Linked DNA regions of Rattus norvegicus. The protein of the gene in region 1 purifies or fractionates together with the protein of each later gene. This does not show direct contact. Links are inferred from orthologs where the notes say so. Each region holds a gene or a part of one and is shown in the gene's direction. Other genes may lie near its edges.

Region 1 (2,239 bases):
GTTCAGAATTCAAGTTCACCACCCTACACAGAAGGGCGTTATCTGTTACATGCTAAGAGGCCTTGGGGGGCAGCCGGACCAACCACTCTGTGCAAAGCATGCCACTCACAGGTAGTCTAATGTGGGTGGAAAGGAATTGCAAAGAAACTGGGACATCTGGTCTCCGTGCCTCACCGCTACAAGGTGCAAATGGACACTCTGCAGGCATAAGATCCCCAAGTGAAAGATTAGAATAGACATTGGGCCTGATTCATCAAACCCTGTGATTGCAAAAAATGGCACTGCCTGCTGTCTGGCTTGTCACAGCATGGGCCCTTCTCTCCGCCCTAGCTCTTCGATAGTTGAGCTAACAGATTCTCTCTCGAGTGGTGCGTTAGCCCCTCAGATCTGCGGCCGAGTTTGCTGTGTCCTTTTCAGCTGAGAGAACCTCTGCTTAGTTTCCACTGCGTTGCTAATATATTTACTATTTTACAATGTGTTCTTTTAAAAATACCCTTTAAAAGTCTACCTGTTTCTTTTTATTTGCTTCTAGTATTATCCTCTAAAATAATTTTAAACATATATTATGACTTTTTTGTTTTTTGGAGGTAGAATTTGATGTAGCTCAGCCTGACCTTGAACTCACTGTTCAGCCAAAAATGAACTTGAGTGTTTGATCTCCTGCTTCTACCTCCTCAGTGCCGGATTACAGGATTACTTTGCTTGTTTTTATGCTGGCTGGGATGGGATAAAGGGTGTGTTTACTATGCAAGCAGTCTGCTAACTGAGCTACATGTCCAGCCCATAAACATGTGCTTAGATTGCTCTAAACTCCAGTTTTGGGAGTACTGATTAATGTCTCTTATAATTGCATATTTTCATGTATGTTTTGATCCAGATCCCCTCCTCCAAGAGAACAGGTGTCATTGATAAGGTTGGAGGTCTTTGTCACTGTAGGACATGGAAGGCCGACCCCACAGCTATTTCCACTTGTTAGCACCCTCCATGAGGGTTTGATGAAAATCCTTATAGAATCTTATGTTTAGGGCTCCTATTCCAAGGGTTAGTGTCCAATTATGCCCCATAGTTGTAGCCAGTGGAGACCAGGTGTTTTAATTTCTTTAAAATTATTTTCTGGCCGCAGCCTGCATTAGACTGCCTTTGAGTTAGAAGTTTCGTGTGCGGTGTCTGGTCCAGCTGCCCTGGCCCTGTTAGCCATCGCACATTCTCCCCACCTGGCCCCTAGGACCTGTTGTCTGAGGTTACTCTGGTACATGATGGGTGTCGTTGCTGTTATCTGAAGTCAGGTCCCACGGAGGGATCCTGTGTGGCTCCTGCTTGCTGTTGTGTACTCATGTGTCCTTCCCTCTAACCGTCCCTGCAGGGCTGTGGTGTTCGTGGTGGACAGTGCAACGTTCCAGCGGGAGGTGAAAGATGTGGCTGAGTTTCTGTACCAGGTCCTCATCGACAGCATGGCTCTGAAGAACACACCGGCCTTCTTAGTAGCCTGCAATAAGCAAGGTGCTTCTGGCGTGCAGCTGATCCTCGGAGGACTGCTGCTGGGAACTAGTTCTTCACCTGCAGTCGTTATTGCTGAGCATGGGGGAGGAGCTGTAGTTAGACATTAATTAAGGGGTTTAATCTGAAAATCTGTTTCTATTACTTTCCTGGTCTTTTACCAGGTTGTCCCAAGGACTCGCAGCTGCAGGCTGTGTTGATATTACAGCCTTTTTTTATGACACAGTGCTTTTTAAAGATCATAAATTCTCTTACTTTACCAAATGTTAGTTTGTGAGGCCATGTACTGTTGGTTCTGGGGGATTGTGGGGCCTCTCCTTCCAAACAGGCCGTACCACTGTTCCCCCTTATCCCAGCGCTCACACTTGGGTTGGCTCTGCGGCCAGGCCATGTAACATAGGTCTTTCACGCCTGCCTTTCTCAGGAGCCTGGAGCATTTTTCAGCAGTGATTTTTAAAAATCCTAATACCTGATGAGTGGTATGGCTCTTAGCATCTTATTTTAAAGAGTGTGTGTGTGTGTGTGTGTGTGTGTGTGTGTGTGTGTGTGTGTGTGTAGTGCTGATCCTCAGGCATACCTGGTGCCTGAGAAGATTAGAAAAGGGCTTTGGATCCACTGGGATAGTTGTGAGTTGACATGTGGGTGCTAGGACTTGAACCTGGTCCTCTGGAAGAGAAGCCAGTGCTGTAACCACTGAGCCGTCTCTAGCCCCAGCCAGCTTCTTTGGTTTTGTATGAGGAAG
Region 2 (4,208 bases), on another chromosome or scaffold:
AGCGCAGGGAATATAATTACTTTTCACATAGAGTAGTTGTGCTTTTTTGTGTATATAAAGTGATGTCTTTATACGTCAAAAGGAAGGGCCACCCTTCGTAACGACGCTGAACATAATTATCTATGCGCGTAAAAGCTTACAAATTAATTAATGTAGCCATCTGGGAGAAGCTGCACCAGCAAGGCCTTCTGGGAAGCCATATGCAAATTAGACAGATACTACGCGGCTCCGCCCCTCAGTGGTAGCCCAGCCCGATCGGCGGGGAATCCGTGCTCTTGGTGCGATGGGCAAACTGAATGCTGGTAAACTATCCCCATGGAGCTTCGCCCCTAATGAACAGTGCTAGAAAGCTCTGCCTCCCAGGGCAAGGCTGGTAATGATTCCTCAACGGGCTATGCTAATGACTCCCCACCGGACTCCGCCCCTAAGTGAGGCTGTGGCCGTAGTGAAGCCCTATGTAAATAGTAAATAGGCCTTGCTACATGCGTCTCCGCCCCCTCTGATCCTCCGCTAATAGAAAACCCGGTGTAGATAAGACTAGCAACGTCGCCCCGCCCACTAGTTGCAAATGCTTAAGCTTGTTTCTGAGACCACGCCCCATAGCTCGACCGCCGCGAACCTGGTTCCCTACACAAACGAAACGGATTGTACGCGACACTGCCTCAGTGCCTAAGCTCAATGCTTATATATTTGGTTGTGAGCCTAACCTTTAACGGCTGAGCCATCTCTCCAGCCCCTAAGCTCAATGCTTAAGATACAGCTTTGGTCTGAAGAGATGGCTAAGAGCACTGACTGCCCTTCCAGAGGTCTTGAGTTCATTTTCCAGCATCCATTATGGTGGCTCACAACCATCTGTAATGGGATCTGATGCCCTCTTCTGGTCTGAACGCAGCTACAGTGTACTCACATATATAAAAGATTTTTTTTTATTTTAGCTCAGTGCAAATGAGTCGTGACACACGACTCTGCCATAGACCATGCCACAGTGTGTGGGAGTGAATTTTTGCAAATGAACCGGGCTCCTCTCTATTCCGCTCCGTGTAGCCTCCGCAAATTGCAAGCCCAAAGCAAATGAGACCGACCAAAGCTTTAAGGAGGACTAGGAAAATAAACTGAACTCCGTGTTACTCCGGCCTTTTAGCACTGGGGCGACGGGTTTGAAGTTTGAGAGCAGTAACCAGGCTCCGCCCACTTGTGGTGCCAGCCTTCCGGCTCTGAAGCCCGGCCTCCTCGGGCGGCCGTGGCGATCCCAGCGTGCCCCGCGCACGGGTGGCGCTCTGGCCCGGCGCTCTCGCCGGCGTCGCGGGCCGGACGGACGCGAGCACAGGCGCAGGCGGCGGCGGCCGGGGGCGGCGGGGGGGATCCGGCGGCCGGGACACGGCGGGGGGGCAGCCGGCGGCCGCCGGGGTGACGCGGGGCGGTGATGTCGGAGCACGCGGCAGCCCCAGGGCCCGGGCCCAACGGCGGCGGGGGTGGCGGCGCGGCGCCCGTGCGCGGCCCGCGCGGCCCCAATCTCAACCCCAACCCGCTCATCAACGTGCGCGACCGGCTCTTCCACGCGCTCTTCTTCAAGATGGCCGTCACCTACTCACGCCTCTTCCCACCTGCTTTCCGCCGCCTCTTTGAGTTCTTCGTTCTGCTCAAGGTGACCTCTGACCCCTGACCTCTGACCCCAGCTGTCATCCACCTGCCCACCCCCTCAGCTTTACCACTTGGCCCCTGACTTGGCCTGAATACCCTGATGCCAATCTTCTCACAGATGCATCCTCTGATCCCCACTTCCTCAGCTCTCAGGCCCCGCCTCTTGCCCTTTGGCCTCTGACTCTGCCACTTGGGAACCTAGGCCCCAAATTTTTCCACCCAAGACCAGAGCCCAGTGTCTTCTTGAGGTAGTATCTTGGACTCGAGGTCCCCCCCTCCCACCTGTCACTCCCATTCTGTCCTGCACCTCCACTGAGAACAGTGTGGTCAGTTCCATCCCATCCTGAAGTTCCACTGTGGACAACCCCCTGTGCTGGAGGCCCTGTCCCGCCTGTCATTTCCATCCTAACACACCCTGAAGCTCACCTGGGGATAGTCCCCAGCCCTCCCAGTGTCCCTGCTCTTCTCTGTCACTTCTTGCCAGATCTTTTGTGGCTTTGGTGGGGTCACCTCGCTAGGGTTAGCCACAAAGTCACAGCCACATTGGCCAGGGACCTCTGTAGCCAGTACTTGCTCTGCTGTGTCTTCCTGGTGTGCTCCTGAGAGATACTGAGTTCTCAATATAACAAAGGCTACTCCAGAGGGATAGCCACCAGGCTCTGTCCCTAGGCTTCTCTCTGAGAGGAGCTGCCTGGGCCATCTGGTGTTGGGGGCATGGCATGGTGGTGGGTGTGCTGATGTTGGAGGGCATTGCCTTCTCCGGTGGCTTTGGTGAATGTGGGACTGGCTCCTAGCACTGTTTCAAAGCTGTCAGTTTGGGGGATTCATGGAAGTACTTCCAGCATGAGATTGAAACAGATGTGGGGTTGAGCCCCTCAGGCTCCAGTCCACAGTCTGCAGTCTGCCACTGCCCCTTCTTTCTCCCTGCCTTCCACACCCTGAGTCCCCAGTGGTGGCCCTCAGCTTGGGGTACCCGATACCTTGTCAGAGACAGGGTCTGTTGGATGACAGTTGACCCCCCACTTTTTCTTTTTTTTTTTTTTTGGTTCTTTTTTTCGGAGCTGGGGACCGAACCCAGGGCCTTGCGCTTCCTAGGTAAGCGCTCTACCACTGAGCTAAATCCTCAGCCCCGACCCCACACTTTTTTCTTAATCGGGACAGACAAGCCATACAGCAGCTGGTTTCTGGGGCTGCCGAGGTTTCAGGGAGCCCTTTTGCTGTGTTTCCTGCCTACCCAGCTTCCGCCCAACCTTCATAGAGGGGACGTGCCTGGCAGCCAAGGCTGCTAGGCCTGTACCGCCCTGTACCCTGTCCCCACCCCAGCCTGGGTGTCAGCTCTGACAGGCCCAGGGAAGAGCTTTTGGACTTGGTGTCCTCTCTGCTGGCTTCACAGTCTCAAAGACTGAAACTGGGCAGACACAGAATGTGGCCCCAAGCACCTGGGCTAAGCAGCTGACAAGTGGGCGACCGTGGGACACACATGGGATAGACTGTGGCACAGCATGGTGCCTTAGACCTTAGGATGTGGGCCAGCGTCAAAGGGCAAGGAGGTGAATGACACCAGCTCTAAGTGGATCTGAGCCCCAGAAGGTGCTAAGTGGAACCCTTGGGTGGGTTAAGATCTGGAGATCGTGGCTGAGCCTGGTAGTCTATACCCAGTGCAGGTTTCCTATTGGTCAGATGGACTGACAGCTCCAGATGCCAGACTGGGGTGACAATGAGACACTCCCTGCTTACAGGGTAGGAGGTACCCTGAGAACCCTAGATGGTGGCATTGAGGGTCTGCAGGAGGTGATGGCATGCAGTCCCCACCAGGCTGATGTGACCAGGTTCAGTGCCTGTGTATTTGGCACCAAGGGGCAGATGGGGGCGGAGTGCCCAAGGGCCTGAGTGGGATGCCAGGCTCTAGCTCAGTGACAGGCGAGGACTTGTGCACTGGCCAAAGTGGCCACGGTGGGAAGAGAAAGCCCAGGCTATGTCCACCCTTACAGTGGCTACCTCCCTTTGAGTCTAGATGCCCAGTAGGTGGGACAGAGCTGGTGACACAGTTCCTGGCTCTTGGTTGGACTGGCAAGCGTGGCTGCTGGGGTCTCAGCCTGGGCTGGTCAGCCGTCATTTCACCCAATACAAAAATCCATTTCCTGCCCAGGGGAGCCTCACAGTTGACAGGTGTGGGTGCCAGTGTCAAGTGTGGCTGGCTCCACACTGCAGTCTTAGTTTCAGTCCCAGGGCCTTCCCTGTCTGCTCTGCATCCCCTCGGGTCACTGCTCGGAGGGCTAGGTGCTCTGTGGGTGCAGCTCTGTCACCAGATTACAGAGGAGAGGCCTGAGGAGCAGGCACATGGGTATGGAGCCTGGTCTTTGTGCTTGCTCCTGGTCTTAGGTCACGTGTGTCCCCTACAGCGCTGCCTAACAGCAGGCAGGGAGGGCCCTACTGTGCTCGCTGTGGCTGAGCACCTTGGGATTGTGGACTGGGAGTCCAGCCTCGTCCCTGAAGAGCATAGCGACTCCCATGCACACACTGGGTGTGCAGGGCTGCTAAGGACCGTCAGGGCCCTGAAGATTCCC
Region 3 (4,057 bases), about 71 Mb from region 1:
TCCCACCGCCGATGATGACCACATCCGACTGTTCTGGGGGCAGGTGGCTGGTGTCATACACCATTTCACATTGCTTTCCCGGCAGGATAGACTCAATCTTCTTCTTAAAGTCAGACACCTTTGTATCCCAGTCTGCAGGACATAGTTACAGTTAGATGGACTTAGGCTCTTCTCTACGTGCTTTGGGGGTTGGAGGATGGGCACAGGGAAAGGTGGGCTGAAATAGACGTTTGGGTTGGCACATCTCCAACGTCATTCTTTCTCATAAGATCAACTCATTCGCAGGGGTATTATTCCAACTTTGCTGTTTGGTCTTTGTCCCACCTGTCATGCATCTCCTCTAACAACTTCCTAAAATTACACTTTCTATTTCCCCGTCAAGCTAGGGTGACTCACATTACTTAGTTTTTTTTTTTCTTTTTTTTTTTTTCAGAGCTGGGGACCGAACCCAGGGCCTTGCACTTGCTAGGCAAGGGCTTTACCACTGAGCTAAACCCCCAACCCCACATTACTTAGTTTTACAGACCTTCTCTCCCTCCCGAGCCCCATTCTCAGATATTCAACTGCACATTTATCTCCACTCAGGTATACCAGGCCCAGAGAACACGAGTCCCCCTTCTAAAGCCGGGCACTTCTGTATGATCTTTATCCTTATCCATTACCACCAGCAACTTTCCATTTATTGTCCACTGGGAAGAGCCTCCTTGAGAACCATACACTTGGACTGGCTCTTTAACCTCTAGCAGGCAAGCCCACCCCTCTTCCCAGCTAACTCGATGCCCTGCCAGCACGAGGCAGGGGGTCGAACCTTGAAGGTCACGTATATGGAGGTTTTGGGCTCCCCAGAACCGCTAAAATATTTTCTCTGCTGCCCTCAGCTTTACCCAGAGTAAAGCCTCCTGTGCGTGTGCGTAGCCCCCGGGTAGGGAGGCCCGGGCACAGGCCAAGACGCAGCACTTTGCGAAACATGGCCTTACAGAGCCCGGCTTCTTCCAGCTTGAGGTGCCTGCCGCTCAGGCCGACTGTGTCTTTCTAGTCATCGGTCCGCGCCACAGGGAATAGACGCGAATGCGCCGATTAGCCGGCAGTGCTCTTTAGGCTCCACCCCTTCACGCTATAGGGAGCTAGCGCCTTGGGAGTCTCGCCCATGTTTGCTATTAGTTAGTCTTGCGCCTACGTCATCCCGCGCGCCCTAGCGGGGGAAGGGGCGGGACCCCTGCGGCCCGTAGCGGAAGTGCGGCTGAACCGGTTTCCGGGGGCTGCTGGTGTGACGTGTCCCGCGCTTGGCGCAGCAGGAAGCGGCGGCGGACGCGGCCCGAGTTCCCGGCGCCGGTCTCGGCCCCAAGTCTTCTCCCGCTTCCATCATGCTTGACTTCTTCACCATCTTCTCGAAGGGCGGGCTTGTGCTCTGGTGTTTCCAGGGCGTGAGCGACTCGTGCACCGGGCCCGTGAACGCGTTGATTCGTTCTGTACTGCTGCAGGTACCACTCCCGCGGGGCAGAACTCCGGGCTCTGGTCCCTCAGACCCAGACCGTGGTCCCCCTTCCAGTAATCATTCCGCGTCTTCTGTCCTGACCCCCTCAAACTGGTCGCTTACCGACCACCCAGGATCGCTTCCTTTCCTGGATCACTGTATCCCTAAACTTTGCGACGCCCCCCACACCTTCCGTTTCCGGGGCTCTAGCCCTGTTCTGGCGTCCTAATAGACTTGAGCTCTCTCTCCACTCATCCGGGCAGCTTGGTTTTCTATTGTTTTGAGGTTGGGTGAGACTGTGGATGTGAGAACAGCTTTCAGGTGAACTAAATGGTTCACAGCTGTTAGAAGATCTGATTGTTTATATATGATTGTTTACTTTCTGACTCCCACGTGTCGTGTCTCCTCTCCCAGCTTTATCCCTTGTCCCTACTTGGTGTCTGTCTGTCTGTCTGTCTGTCTGTCTGTCTGTCTCCTTTTCTGGCTGGATGCTAGAGAAATGTCTCAGTATTCCCTTGTTGAGCCCGGGATAATATCTGGTTATTTCCCAAACATAGTTCAAAGTCTGGTTTTGCTGTGGATAGCCTGAATGCTGTAACACTCTTTTTCCAGGAACGGGGAGGTAACAACTCTTTCACTCATGAGGCTCTCACACTCAAGTATAAACTGGACAACCAGTTTGAACTGGTGTTTGTGGTAAGTGGGGTTATGTTAGAAAGACAAGTTATGTTCTCAACAGAATGTCCATTGATGAATCCAGTTAATTATGGGTATTGTGTGTGTGATAAAGTAATAGAAATATTAGGAATGTGGAGGGGAGAAAGAAAGCAACTTCTGGGTAAGGTAGAAAGCTTGGCTGCCTCTCAGGACAGGAAACCTATCTCAGGAGGCCTGGGTTGAGTTGGCTTCCTTCCATGCTGGGCTGGCTTGTAAGGAGATCTTTTGGCCCTGTGTCCTTCCATAAACAGGTTGGCTTTCAGAAGATCCTCACACTGACCTATGTAGACAAATTGATAGATGATGTGCACCGGCTGTTCCGGGATAAGTACCGCACAGAGATCCAACAACAGAGTGCTTTAAGTTTATTGAATGGCACTTTTGATTTCCAAAATGACTTCCTGCGGCTCCTTCGGTGAGAGGCTTTCCCTCTTCATAAAGGGAAATTTTTCATGATCTGAGAGTGCCCTGCCTGGGGGTTGGGGATTCAGCTCAGTGGTAGAGCGCTTGCCTAGCAAGCACAAAGCCCTGGGTTCGGTCCCCAGCTCTGAAAAAAAGAAAAAGAAAAAAGGGAAAAAAAAAAGAGTGCCCTGCCTGTAGGTGGCTTATCAATATTAACATGGGTTCAAACCAGTCACATTTTTGTAACTTGTTTCTGATTGTCCTTTTGATATGTGGGACCTTTTTCTGAAGTCAAGAGTCCTTCCTCTTACATGGATAGAAGGACCAACAGTCTCTTTTCTCTTCAGTGAAGCAGAGGAGAGCAGTAAGATCCGTGCTCCCACTACCATGAAGAAATTTGAAGATTCTGAAAAAGCTAAGAAACCTGTGAGATCCATGATTGAAACACGGGGGGAAAAGACCAAGGAAAAAGCAAAAAACAACAAAAAAAAGGGGTCCAAAAAGGAAGGTGTGTTTGAGTTTTCTGAACATGCTAGGGTATAGTGCTATAAAGGTCTGTAGTAGTCCTTTGGTCATTGCTGGCCTCCCTTAACTTAATGCTCACCCCCCATCATCCCCTTCTGGCATTGTAATCTCCAAGGTGTTTGGTACAAGTTTGTTCAAGTTAGCTGGGGAAAGGGGTAGGCTTAGCAGCTAGAGGTTAGAGCCAATTCAAGTGTATGACTCTTCCCAGTAGGCAATGCCATATAACAGGAAGGTTATTGGTGGTTGCAAGGATTTGGAAGAACTGTAGGTATTATATAGGTGCTTGGGATTTGTGTGTTTCTCCTTCAGTGAGGTTTCTCTTAACAGGTTCTGATGGCCCTTTGGCTACCAGCAAAACAGCCCCTGCAGAAAAGTCAGGTCTCCCAGTGGGACCTGAGAATGGGGAACTTTCCAAAGAGGAGCTGATACGTAGGAAGAGAGAGGAGTTCATTCAGAAGCATGGGAAGGGCCTGGACAAATCCAGGTGAGCAGCATTAACCAATCTCTGATGGTGGAATTCTTTTCTCATGTTCTTTGCTACTTTACTACTGTAACTTTTTCTTATGTAATCCTTTGCAGTAAATCTACAAAGTCAGATATTCCAAAGGAGAAAGGCAAAAAAGCACCCCGGGTGTGGGAACTAGGTGGCTGTGCTAACAAGGAAGTCTTGGATTACAGTACTCCCACCACCAATGGAACTCCAGAGGCAGCCCTTTCTGAAGATATCAACTTGGTAAGATGTATAAAGGTCAGAGTGAAGGTCACCATTAGCCAGAAATTGGGAAGGAAACAGAGGATATATCTGGATTTGGGAAACTATATTTGGAACTATATTTGGAGTTTCTCCAAGGCTCAAATATTAATGTTGACAAGAGTATATCCTGGGCTATTTCCCTCAGCCATTGGTTTTCCTGATCACTTTGTCTGTCTGTTTTCCAG
Region 4 (4,192 bases), on another chromosome or scaffold:
ACAGGGATGCTACCACTCCTGCTTGTCCAAGGCCAGGATGGAAGATCCCTCTTGTTCTACAGAATGAGGTGTGCCTGCTCTGTATCCCCCACCCTCACTCCCGAAAAAGCACAGCTGCACGGCAAAGGCATTCACCTGCACTGAACTAACTTTTTTTATACATTGAAAGTTAAAACATCAATTTTTCTAGTCACTTTTTAAATATAAAAAAAATGCACTTGCTACTGTAAAAAAAAATCCCTCTTTGGTCACAAGCTCATCTAATCAGTTTTAAAATAAAATAGTTTTAAAATAAATTAAGATGTATTTATTAAGTGTATCTGTACACATGTGAAGGTCAGGTGATAACTTGCCAGACTCCTTCCCCCCGGTGGGTTTCTGGGGATTGAACTAGAATTGACAGGTTTGGCCTCAAGCATCTTTACCTGCTGAACCAACTCACGGGGCTCCAGTTAGTTATACTCTTACTATCTTTATTATTTTGATACTGAAAATTCACGGACTTGGCTAGTAGAGTCTTCAAGAGAGCTGTGTCGTTTTACCCATTCCCATTCATCACCACTGTTAGCGTTCCTTCTAGGCTCCGCCCACAGTTACCTGGCAACAGCCAGGTGTGCCTGGCTTACTATAAACGGGGCTGTTCGCCCCTTCTCTCCTTCATAGTCTTTGCTCCTTCTCTCCCTGGCCCCTTTCTCCCCTTCTCTCTCCCTCCCTCCCTCTCTCCAAGCGTCCCTGCCCGGCCTCTTCTCTCTCCCTCCTCCCTTCCCAACTCCACTTCCCATGCCCTAAATTAACTATTCCAAACTATATCCGTGGTATGGCTGGTGCCTCACGGGGAAGAGATGCCTAAGGATGGGCCCGCTGAGGCACCCTTCCCACCTCACCAGCGCCTCTACCAAAACATATCCTGGCCTCTTTTTTTTTTTTTTAAATAAAACAGAACAACCACTGCCTACATTCTAATACAAGGCATTCTAAGCTGGTATCTCTAGGACTTTTTTTTTTTTAAAAGCAAGGAAGGAAGCCCTTTCCGCCCATTTTTTTGCGACACGGTCTCACGTATCCCAAGCCTGCTTTGAAAACCATATTGAAGTTCTGATCCAGCACCCGAATGAATGATGTGATTAACTGGAGTGCAAACACACATTTATTCCCAAGTCCTCACGCAGGCGAAGCAAGCAAGGCCACCCATTGAACTACTTTTCCTCCTCCAGGAAACACTGGGAAAAGGCCGAAAGCCCTCCCCTTCCTGTCCCGGGGCGGAACTTAAGAACCCGGCGCCTGGGCCGGAACGCAGTGCTGCCACACCAGCCTTTTCCGGCTGTAACCGGAAGTTGCTCTAATAGAGGTGGCTCCTTGTCAGGTGATCAAGATCCGGGTAGGAGGGTTCGGAGGTTCAATCTTCCTGACTGACGCGTCTCTAAGACTGGCTTGTCCACTGTGGGACAGGGGAACGGACTGGTGGCGTCGCTGGCGCTCGCTCTACGGGGACAGGTACGTGACGAGCTAGGACGGCGGGCCCGGGAGGCGTGGGACCCCCTTCCGGGGCTCAGGGACAGAGGCACCTGAAACCAAGGATCAGGAGACAGCTAGTCTGGCTCTGTCCAGGTCCCAGAAGAAAGATCAGACTGGCATTCCTGGGTACAGATTGGGCAAACTAGGGCCCAAGAAAAGGGAAGGGCGCGCTCAAGCTCCTTGCCAGGCAGGGGCTCGCCCTGACTCCCTCTTAGCCTCGGGGGCGGGACTGTCTCACGTGGGTAGTTAGTGATTTGGTTGAGTGGAGAGATGAGGAGCTTGGTGAACAGATTTGGGATGAAGCGTAGGAGACCTGGACTTGAGTTCGCTGCTAATTGTGCGTTCTAGGCCAAGTCCTTTACCTCACTGAACCTAGTTTCCACACTTGTCCAACCGGGCACTGCTTCTCAAAGCATGATCCTTAACAGCGCCTGCTCTGAAATCCTCTGGGATGCGGGCTCTTCAGCCCTGGACTTTCCCGACAGCTTGTTTCGAATCTGGGTTTGGATCCTAGGAAACCTTCTTTTGAATGTTCTCCTCGGGAGTCCTATACCTACTGGTGTTTCATCTGAAATGCTGTCCCGCTGTGAATGCGGTATTCGATTCGAGGCAGCTGGAGCCCGTTGGAATCTTTGAGACTTCTAGCTTAGGAAAGAACGCCGGAGGAGAATAACTATCTTTAAAAGCTGGCGCGGGGTGGGGGGATTGGGTGGATGGGTTATATCAAAGAGGGCTCCCGCTTAATCTTTGCAGCTGAAAGAGATACAGCTAGGATTAAATAGGTGGGTTCTAGGGGAAGACAAATGTGTACATAGTAATAAGAATTTAACGGAAGACTTATCAGAGGTGACCACTGATAGGATTGACTGTCTCCTTGTGAAAGAAAGTATACAGGAGGTGGTCCTTTCCAATTCGAAAGTCTTTTATTCTGAGTATTTATTGTGAATCTATCTTTCCATGGATAACTCTCTCTTCGGAATGTTTGTGACACTTCTTTTGTGGTCTGAGACAGGATATCGAAGATCTCAGGCTGTCCACAAGCTCCTCTTGCAATTCAAATTGGCCTTGAACTTCTGATCCTCCTGCTTCAGTCTGGAGTGCTAGCATCTCTCGTTACTTAGTACCATTATGCCTGTTGAATGTGACATTTCTTTGTTTGCCTTTCTTGAGCTCTCCTCCTTAGTCTCTATCTCTTGTCAGTGAGGCCAGCACACTTGATCTTATGTAATCTTTTCCTGGTTGTCACATTTGCCATCCTTTTCAAGGACTTTGGAACGACTCATCTGATAAAAAGTATCTGAAATGTATGTCGTATTAATAAACCGGGATCCATTGCATTGGTTAGTAATTTTTTGTTTCATGTTTAATTTTTTTTTTTTTTACTTTATTTTAAGTCAGGCTCTCACTCTGACACTCAGCCCAGGCTGAGGACAATTTAGGTCAGTCTCTGTTTGCCTTGTCTGTGTCTGTGTCTCTGTTTCTGTCCCTGTCTCTCTCTCTCTCTCTCCCTCTTACTCCCTCCATCTCTCTCTCCCTTTTCCAGAGTATCAATATGTAGCCCAGGGTGACCTTAAACTCATGGTCTTCCTGCCTTAGCCTCCCAAATGTTGGGATTGCCCGTGTTCCCCAAGGCTCTGCTTGCCAGTGAACTCCGATTACAGAATGGATGTCTGACTGCGGTTGTTTGGGTCAGTCTTCTCCATGGTTTATAAACTGAACTTTAATTCTTTCTCTAGCAGTGTGTGTACAGATGTGAGAGAATGTCTGCAGTTTGTAAGCTAGCTATACATCCAGCATATATGACCAATTCTTTTATGGCCCTGACTTGCACACCTAGACTTTTCTAATCTAACATTAGATTTCCTTACTTTGCACTTTACCAAACACGAAGTAGATCTCTTCCATTTCCTGATAGAGTACTTAAGAATGCTTATGTTGTCTGGAGAAGCAAAGGTTCCATATTATGACCCGATTCTGCTGACACTTCCTCCACAAAACAAAAGGTTGGGGCTGATCCAAAAGTTCTTGCCTGTTTTCCTGTTGTTTATGTTTCTCAAGATTGAAAAACAAAAGTTGTGAAACGGTCATTCAGTTGTTACCTAACATTCAAGATAGTATGGCCTTAGACTCAGGTGTCCTCAGTGGTGAGGAGAATACTCTTAATTTGTTGGATTTTAAAACTTATTAATTTGAGAATTTCTTTTAAAGGGACACTTGATATAAGTGAAAATGGGATTTGGTGGTAAAAATAAGTTCAGGAAAAGCTACTGACCTTTATCCTTTCTTAGTGTTTTAATGCAAGTACCACATTAAAGGCACGGAGAGTTCTCACAATAAAAATTTGGGGCTTTATAATAAGCTGGCATAATAAAATGTTTTGCTTGCTTGGTGTTACCAAATTTATTTGGTATAGAACCTCTTTTTTTATATCCTTAGCCCAGGGCCTTCCTTCGTAGTATCCAGGGTGGCTTCAGACTCCTCTCCTGCTCCAGCTTCCTAAGTACTGGATTGCTGAGGTGGCTCCCACACAGCGTTACTTTTATGTTTTGTTGTTGGTTTGTTTGTTTGTTTGTTTGTTTTCTTTGTCTTTTTGTGTGTTTTCCAGACAGAGTTTCTCTATGCAACAGCCCTGGCTGTCCCGGAACCCTCTTTGTAGACTAGGCTGGCCTCAAACCCA
Region 5 (3,475 bases), on another chromosome or scaffold:
AGAGGGCATCGGATCCCATGTCAGATGGTTGTGAGCCATCGTGTGGTTGCTGGGAATTGAACTCAGGACCTCAGTGCTCTTAACTGAGCCATCTCTCCAGCCCTCTTCATAAGTATCTTAAAGAGTTACTGAAGCTACGTGTGAAGGCCATGAGCCCTGGAGACAGGCTTTGTGCAGACACTTGGCCTGATGGCCATGTCAGCTGCATGACAGAGGAAGCCATCAAAGCAAGCTCCGGCATAGCGGCTTGCTCTGAGGAGAGTCGCCTTGGCTGAAGCATACAGCTTTCAGGGTGACCAGGCCACATTCTGGATACTCCACCCTGTGTGCTGTCGTCAGTACTTCTCCTAAGCCCCATTATATGAAGTGGCTGGTGCCCCATGCCTCACTCTCAGAGCCAACAAGTAGTACCACTGACCTACCTGGCCTTTCAGTGGGACTCTGACCAAGCCAGGTAGTGCCCTGCTTTAGTAGCACCACATACACCACCATGAATATGGCCTCTACATGGTACTCCAGTAACACACCCTGGCTGGCCATACAGGAAAGGGTCCAGTATTCAGACTTCTACTGTCCCAGAGGTCTAGGCAAACAGCCCCACTGAGAAAGAAGAGATGTGCCCTAGAAGAGGTGCAGTGCTTTATGAGGTCAGTGTCCCTCTGGAGTCCACCAAGGGCCCCTTGAACTGTGTTTATGTCAGTACCTCGGGTTGTTTATGGCAAACTCCTCAGCTCCTGTTCTGTGTCCCCTCCCCAGTCAGTGTGCTACTACCCACATCCCTGGCCCATGGGCCATGTGCACTCCAGTGATGTCTCTGCTGGGGACTGGGTAACTGAGGAAGGGGTCCCCAAAGCCCACATTAGAGCATACCTCCTTCCCTTCCGACAAAACAGCACCTCATGGCGGGTATGCTAAGGTCTCCAATAGCATTGTCTCATGGTCAGAGGCCAGCACCCCTACTTCCAAGTTCTCTCAGCATCTACACAGGGCATTTGCAGCCAGCAGTTCATGTGTTGTTCTAACTCTTACCCATTTAGCAATGTGTTAAAACATTGGATGGCTAATGTGTTTCAAAGCCTGTAACATCTTGAAGCTGGCTGCTGGACCTTATAAAGAATAAACAGAATGCTGGAGGAGAGCCCTTAGTGGGAGTGGCCAGTCCAGAATCAGCAGTTCATATTTGTCCTTGTCACTTAATGAGTAACACTGGAGAGATAGCATATAGTGTGAGCTGTGCAATCTGACACTAGAGCCTTATCCTAGTCCTGCCACTCAGACAGTATGTGACCCTCTGTAAACTAGTAGACATCTCTGAGCCGTAAATTCCTGTTTGTTGGGTGAGGCTCACCTCTCTGGAGATGATTCCCAGACAGTGTAGGTACAGCCTTTGGACCTTGGAACATGGCAGCACGAATTGCAGAAGAATGTTTTCTTGTTGGAGGAAAGAATGACTGAGGGTCATTCCTTCCCTGATATTCTTTCCTTCCACAGGAAACCGAGATCGACAGCATTCACCAGTTAGTTGTGGGGGCAACTGAAAATATTAAGGAAGGCAACGAAGACATACGAGAGGTGGGTATCTGGTGCTTTCCAGTCTGATGTGGCCCAGCCCTGCATCCCAGCAGCCTGAATGTCACTAGTGAAGCTGTCCAAGAGTACTGTGTAGTGTTCAGGGCCCATCTTGTAGCTGTAGTCATGGGTTTATAGTCAGAGGCAGCCTAAGAGCATAAGAGTGTTCACAAGACCTGCTGGCCAGCCTCCAGCCGATTCTCAGGAGAAAGTAGCTCCCATCCCTGCGAGGACAGTGGGTGGGAGAGCATCCAGGAAGGGTCAGGATAACCTCAAAGCAAGGATGAGCCAACAGAGGGCAGGAGCCCAGAAACTATGGAAGGCACCGAGCCTAATGAGCTGACCATCTCTAAATCCCAGGCCTCCTGCTTGTCCCTGTGTCACCATAGATAGGCATCACTGGAAAACCCAAGCCCTGGTTCAAATGGGAATAAGCCCTGGGGAATTGAGTCCTGGGATGTTAGGCTTTGCCCAACAAGAAGAAGTTGGGGACAGAGCAAGCAAAATGGCTCCGTGGATAAATGTGTTTGCTGCCAGGCAGGACAACCTGATTTTAATTTCTGAAATCCACATGACAGAAGCAGAGAATTAACTCTATTTTCCTCTGACCCTACCCCTACATACACCGTAGCATGCATTCCCACCTACACAGCATCGAGATAAATGTAATTTTAAAAATTAAATCCAAGGTCTTTGTTCCCTGTCAGGTGTCCATACACAGTGGCTTTTGTTCCTATCTAATGAGAGCATAGGATCCACCAAGCGGTGTGTGGGGGCACCTAGGCTTCTGAAACAGTCCAGGGCGATGCTAACACCTGTGCTCCCTCTGCCAGGCCATCAAAAACAACGCAGGCTTCCGAGTGTGGATCCTCTTCTTCCTCGTGATGTGTTCCTTTTCCTTGCTCTTCCTCGACTGGTATGACAGCTAGCCCACCAGGGCCTGGCCTGCACCACTGCCCTGGACAGACCACGTGCCAGCGTGTGCCTCATCTGCTGTGGGGTTGCGTAAGGCCCAAGGGCTGGGAAAGCATGGCCCCCAAACCAACCTGTGCACCTCAGGACCTGGAAATACATGGACTGCCAGTGCCCTGTATGCTCTTCAGGGTGCAAGATAAAGGTAGTCAGGAGCTGCACTGTCAGGACAGGCCACATGCATGGTGGAGGCTGAGCAACGCAAGGATACAGCACGCCTCCTGTCCCCATCTCCTGCCTTTCCCACACCAGTAGCTTCAGGGAAGAACATGCCTACTGTTTCTAAAATCGTTAGTTCTTATTTCCTTGTGGCATCTAATGTGTGCCGGCTTATATGTGGCCGATATGTGGCTGATATATTTTGTCACCATTTTGTCACAGAAAATATTCACATCTGCCTTGTCAAGCTAATAAACGCAATTACAGCCATATATTGCAGTCAGTGAGTCTCCACTGAGCCCCTCTGACCGCCACCTGCTGGACAGACTGGGGCCTCCATAGGCATCTCTACCGACCTGCCACATCCCCCCACACACTTTTTAACCTCAAAGCTAGGGCCTAGGGGCGTGGGAAGCCTCATTTCCTGCCGCTGGGTCCCAGAATTTGTATTCTAAGAAGGACGTGGATCTCAGAAGAGTGGGCCTTCTGCCCTTGTTCCTGCATACTTGCTCCTCTAGAAGAGGCCACAGGGTTGCGAGCTGAGAACTAGAAGTGTATGCCGCATGGCCTACATCTGTGTACAGATGTTTCCTGGGTCACACAATTCCTGCTGAAGCATACGAGTACAGATGTCCAGTGTGCGGCTTAGGTACCCACGAGCTCTTTATTTGCAGAGCGAACATGAGACGTTACATTGGGAGAGTTCACAGTGGGTAAAGGGCTACGTTAGAAAACACAACAGGAGGAGGTTGGGGATTTAGCTCAGTGGTAGAGC

The links.
Region 2: the proteins of Srprb (region 1) and Tmem259 purify together in Homo sapiens (affinity purification with mass spectrometry; 3 studies listed by BioGRID and IntAct, counting the BioPlex papers as one, with this or other methods). This does not show direct contact. The link is inferred for Rattus norvegicus from reciprocal best matches to the Homo sapiens genes SRPRB and TMEM259.
Region 3: the proteins of Srprb (region 1) and Srpra purify together in Homo sapiens (affinity purification with mass spectrometry; 6 studies listed by BioGRID and IntAct, counting the BioPlex papers as one, with this or other methods). This does not show direct contact. The link is inferred for Rattus norvegicus from reciprocal best matches to the Homo sapiens genes SRPRB and SRPRA.
Region 4: the proteins of Srprb (region 1) and Rnf185 purify together in Homo sapiens (affinity purification with mass spectrometry; 3 studies listed by BioGRID and IntAct, with this or other methods). This does not show direct contact. The link is inferred for Rattus norvegicus from reciprocal best matches to the Homo sapiens genes SRPRB and RNF185.
Region 5: the proteins of Srprb (region 1) and Stx18 purify together in Homo sapiens (affinity purification with mass spectrometry; 3 studies listed by BioGRID and IntAct, counting the BioPlex papers as one, with this or other methods). This does not show direct contact. The link is inferred for Rattus norvegicus from reciprocal best matches to the Homo sapiens genes SRPRB and STX18.

What each region holds. Positions count from the first base shown.
Region 1 is NC_086026.1:112,649,292-112,651,530, reverse strand, and holds part of Srprb (signal recognition particle receptor subunit beta), read left to right. Parts: intron 1-1,363; coding exon 1,364-1,500; intron 1,501-2,239. UniProt on the Homo sapiens protein: Component of the signal recognition particle (SRP) complex receptor (SR). Ensures, in conjunction with the SRP complex, the correct targeting of the nascent secretory proteins to the endoplasmic reticulum membrane system.
Region 2 is NC_086025.1:10,373,509-10,377,716, forward strand, and holds the start of Tmem259 (membralin), read left to right. Parts: upstream 1-1,395; 5' UTR 1,396-1,423; coding exon 1,424-1,645; intron 1,646-4,208. UniProt on the Homo sapiens protein: May have a role in the ERAD pathway required for clearance of misfolded proteins in the endoplasmic reticulum (ER). Promotes survival of motor neurons, probably by protecting against ER stress.
Region 3 is NC_086026.1:41,816,955-41,821,011, forward strand, and holds the start of Srpra (signal recognition particle receptor subunit alpha), read left to right. Parts: upstream 1-1,244; 5' UTR 1,245-1,364; coding exon 1,365-1,481; intron 1,482-2,086; coding exon 2,087-2,170; intron 2,171-2,442; coding exon 2,443-2,606; intron 2,607-2,940; coding exon 2,941-3,101; intron 3,102-3,445; coding exon 3,446-3,602; intron 3,603-3,697; coding exon 3,698-3,851; intron 3,852-4,057. Other genes in the region: Foxred1 (FAD-dependent oxidoreductase domain-containing protein 1), read right to left, coding at 1-132, 885-969. UniProt on the Homo sapiens protein: Component of the signal recognition particle (SRP) complex receptor (SR). Ensures, in conjunction with the SRP complex, the correct targeting of the nascent secretory proteins to the endoplasmic reticulum membrane system.
Region 4 is NC_086032.1:82,550,662-82,554,853, reverse strand, and holds the start of Rnf185 (E3 ubiquitin-protein ligase RNF185), read left to right. Parts: upstream 1-1,387; 5' UTR 1,388-1,494; exon of another isoform or gene 1,495-1,565; intron 1,566-1,877; exon of another isoform or gene 1,878-2,170; intron 2,171-4,192. UniProt on the Homo sapiens protein: E3 ubiquitin-protein ligase that regulates selective mitochondrial autophagy by mediating 'Lys-63'-linked polyubiquitination of BNIP1.
Region 5 is NC_086032.1:76,883,264-76,886,738, reverse strand, and holds the end of Stx18 (syntaxin-18), read left to right. Parts: intron 1-1,491; coding exon 1,492-1,572; intron 1,573-2,402; coding exon 2,403-2,498; 3' UTR 2,499-2,972; downstream 2,973-3,475. UniProt on the Homo sapiens protein: Syntaxin that may be involved in targeting and fusion of Golgi-derived retrograde transport vesicles with the ER.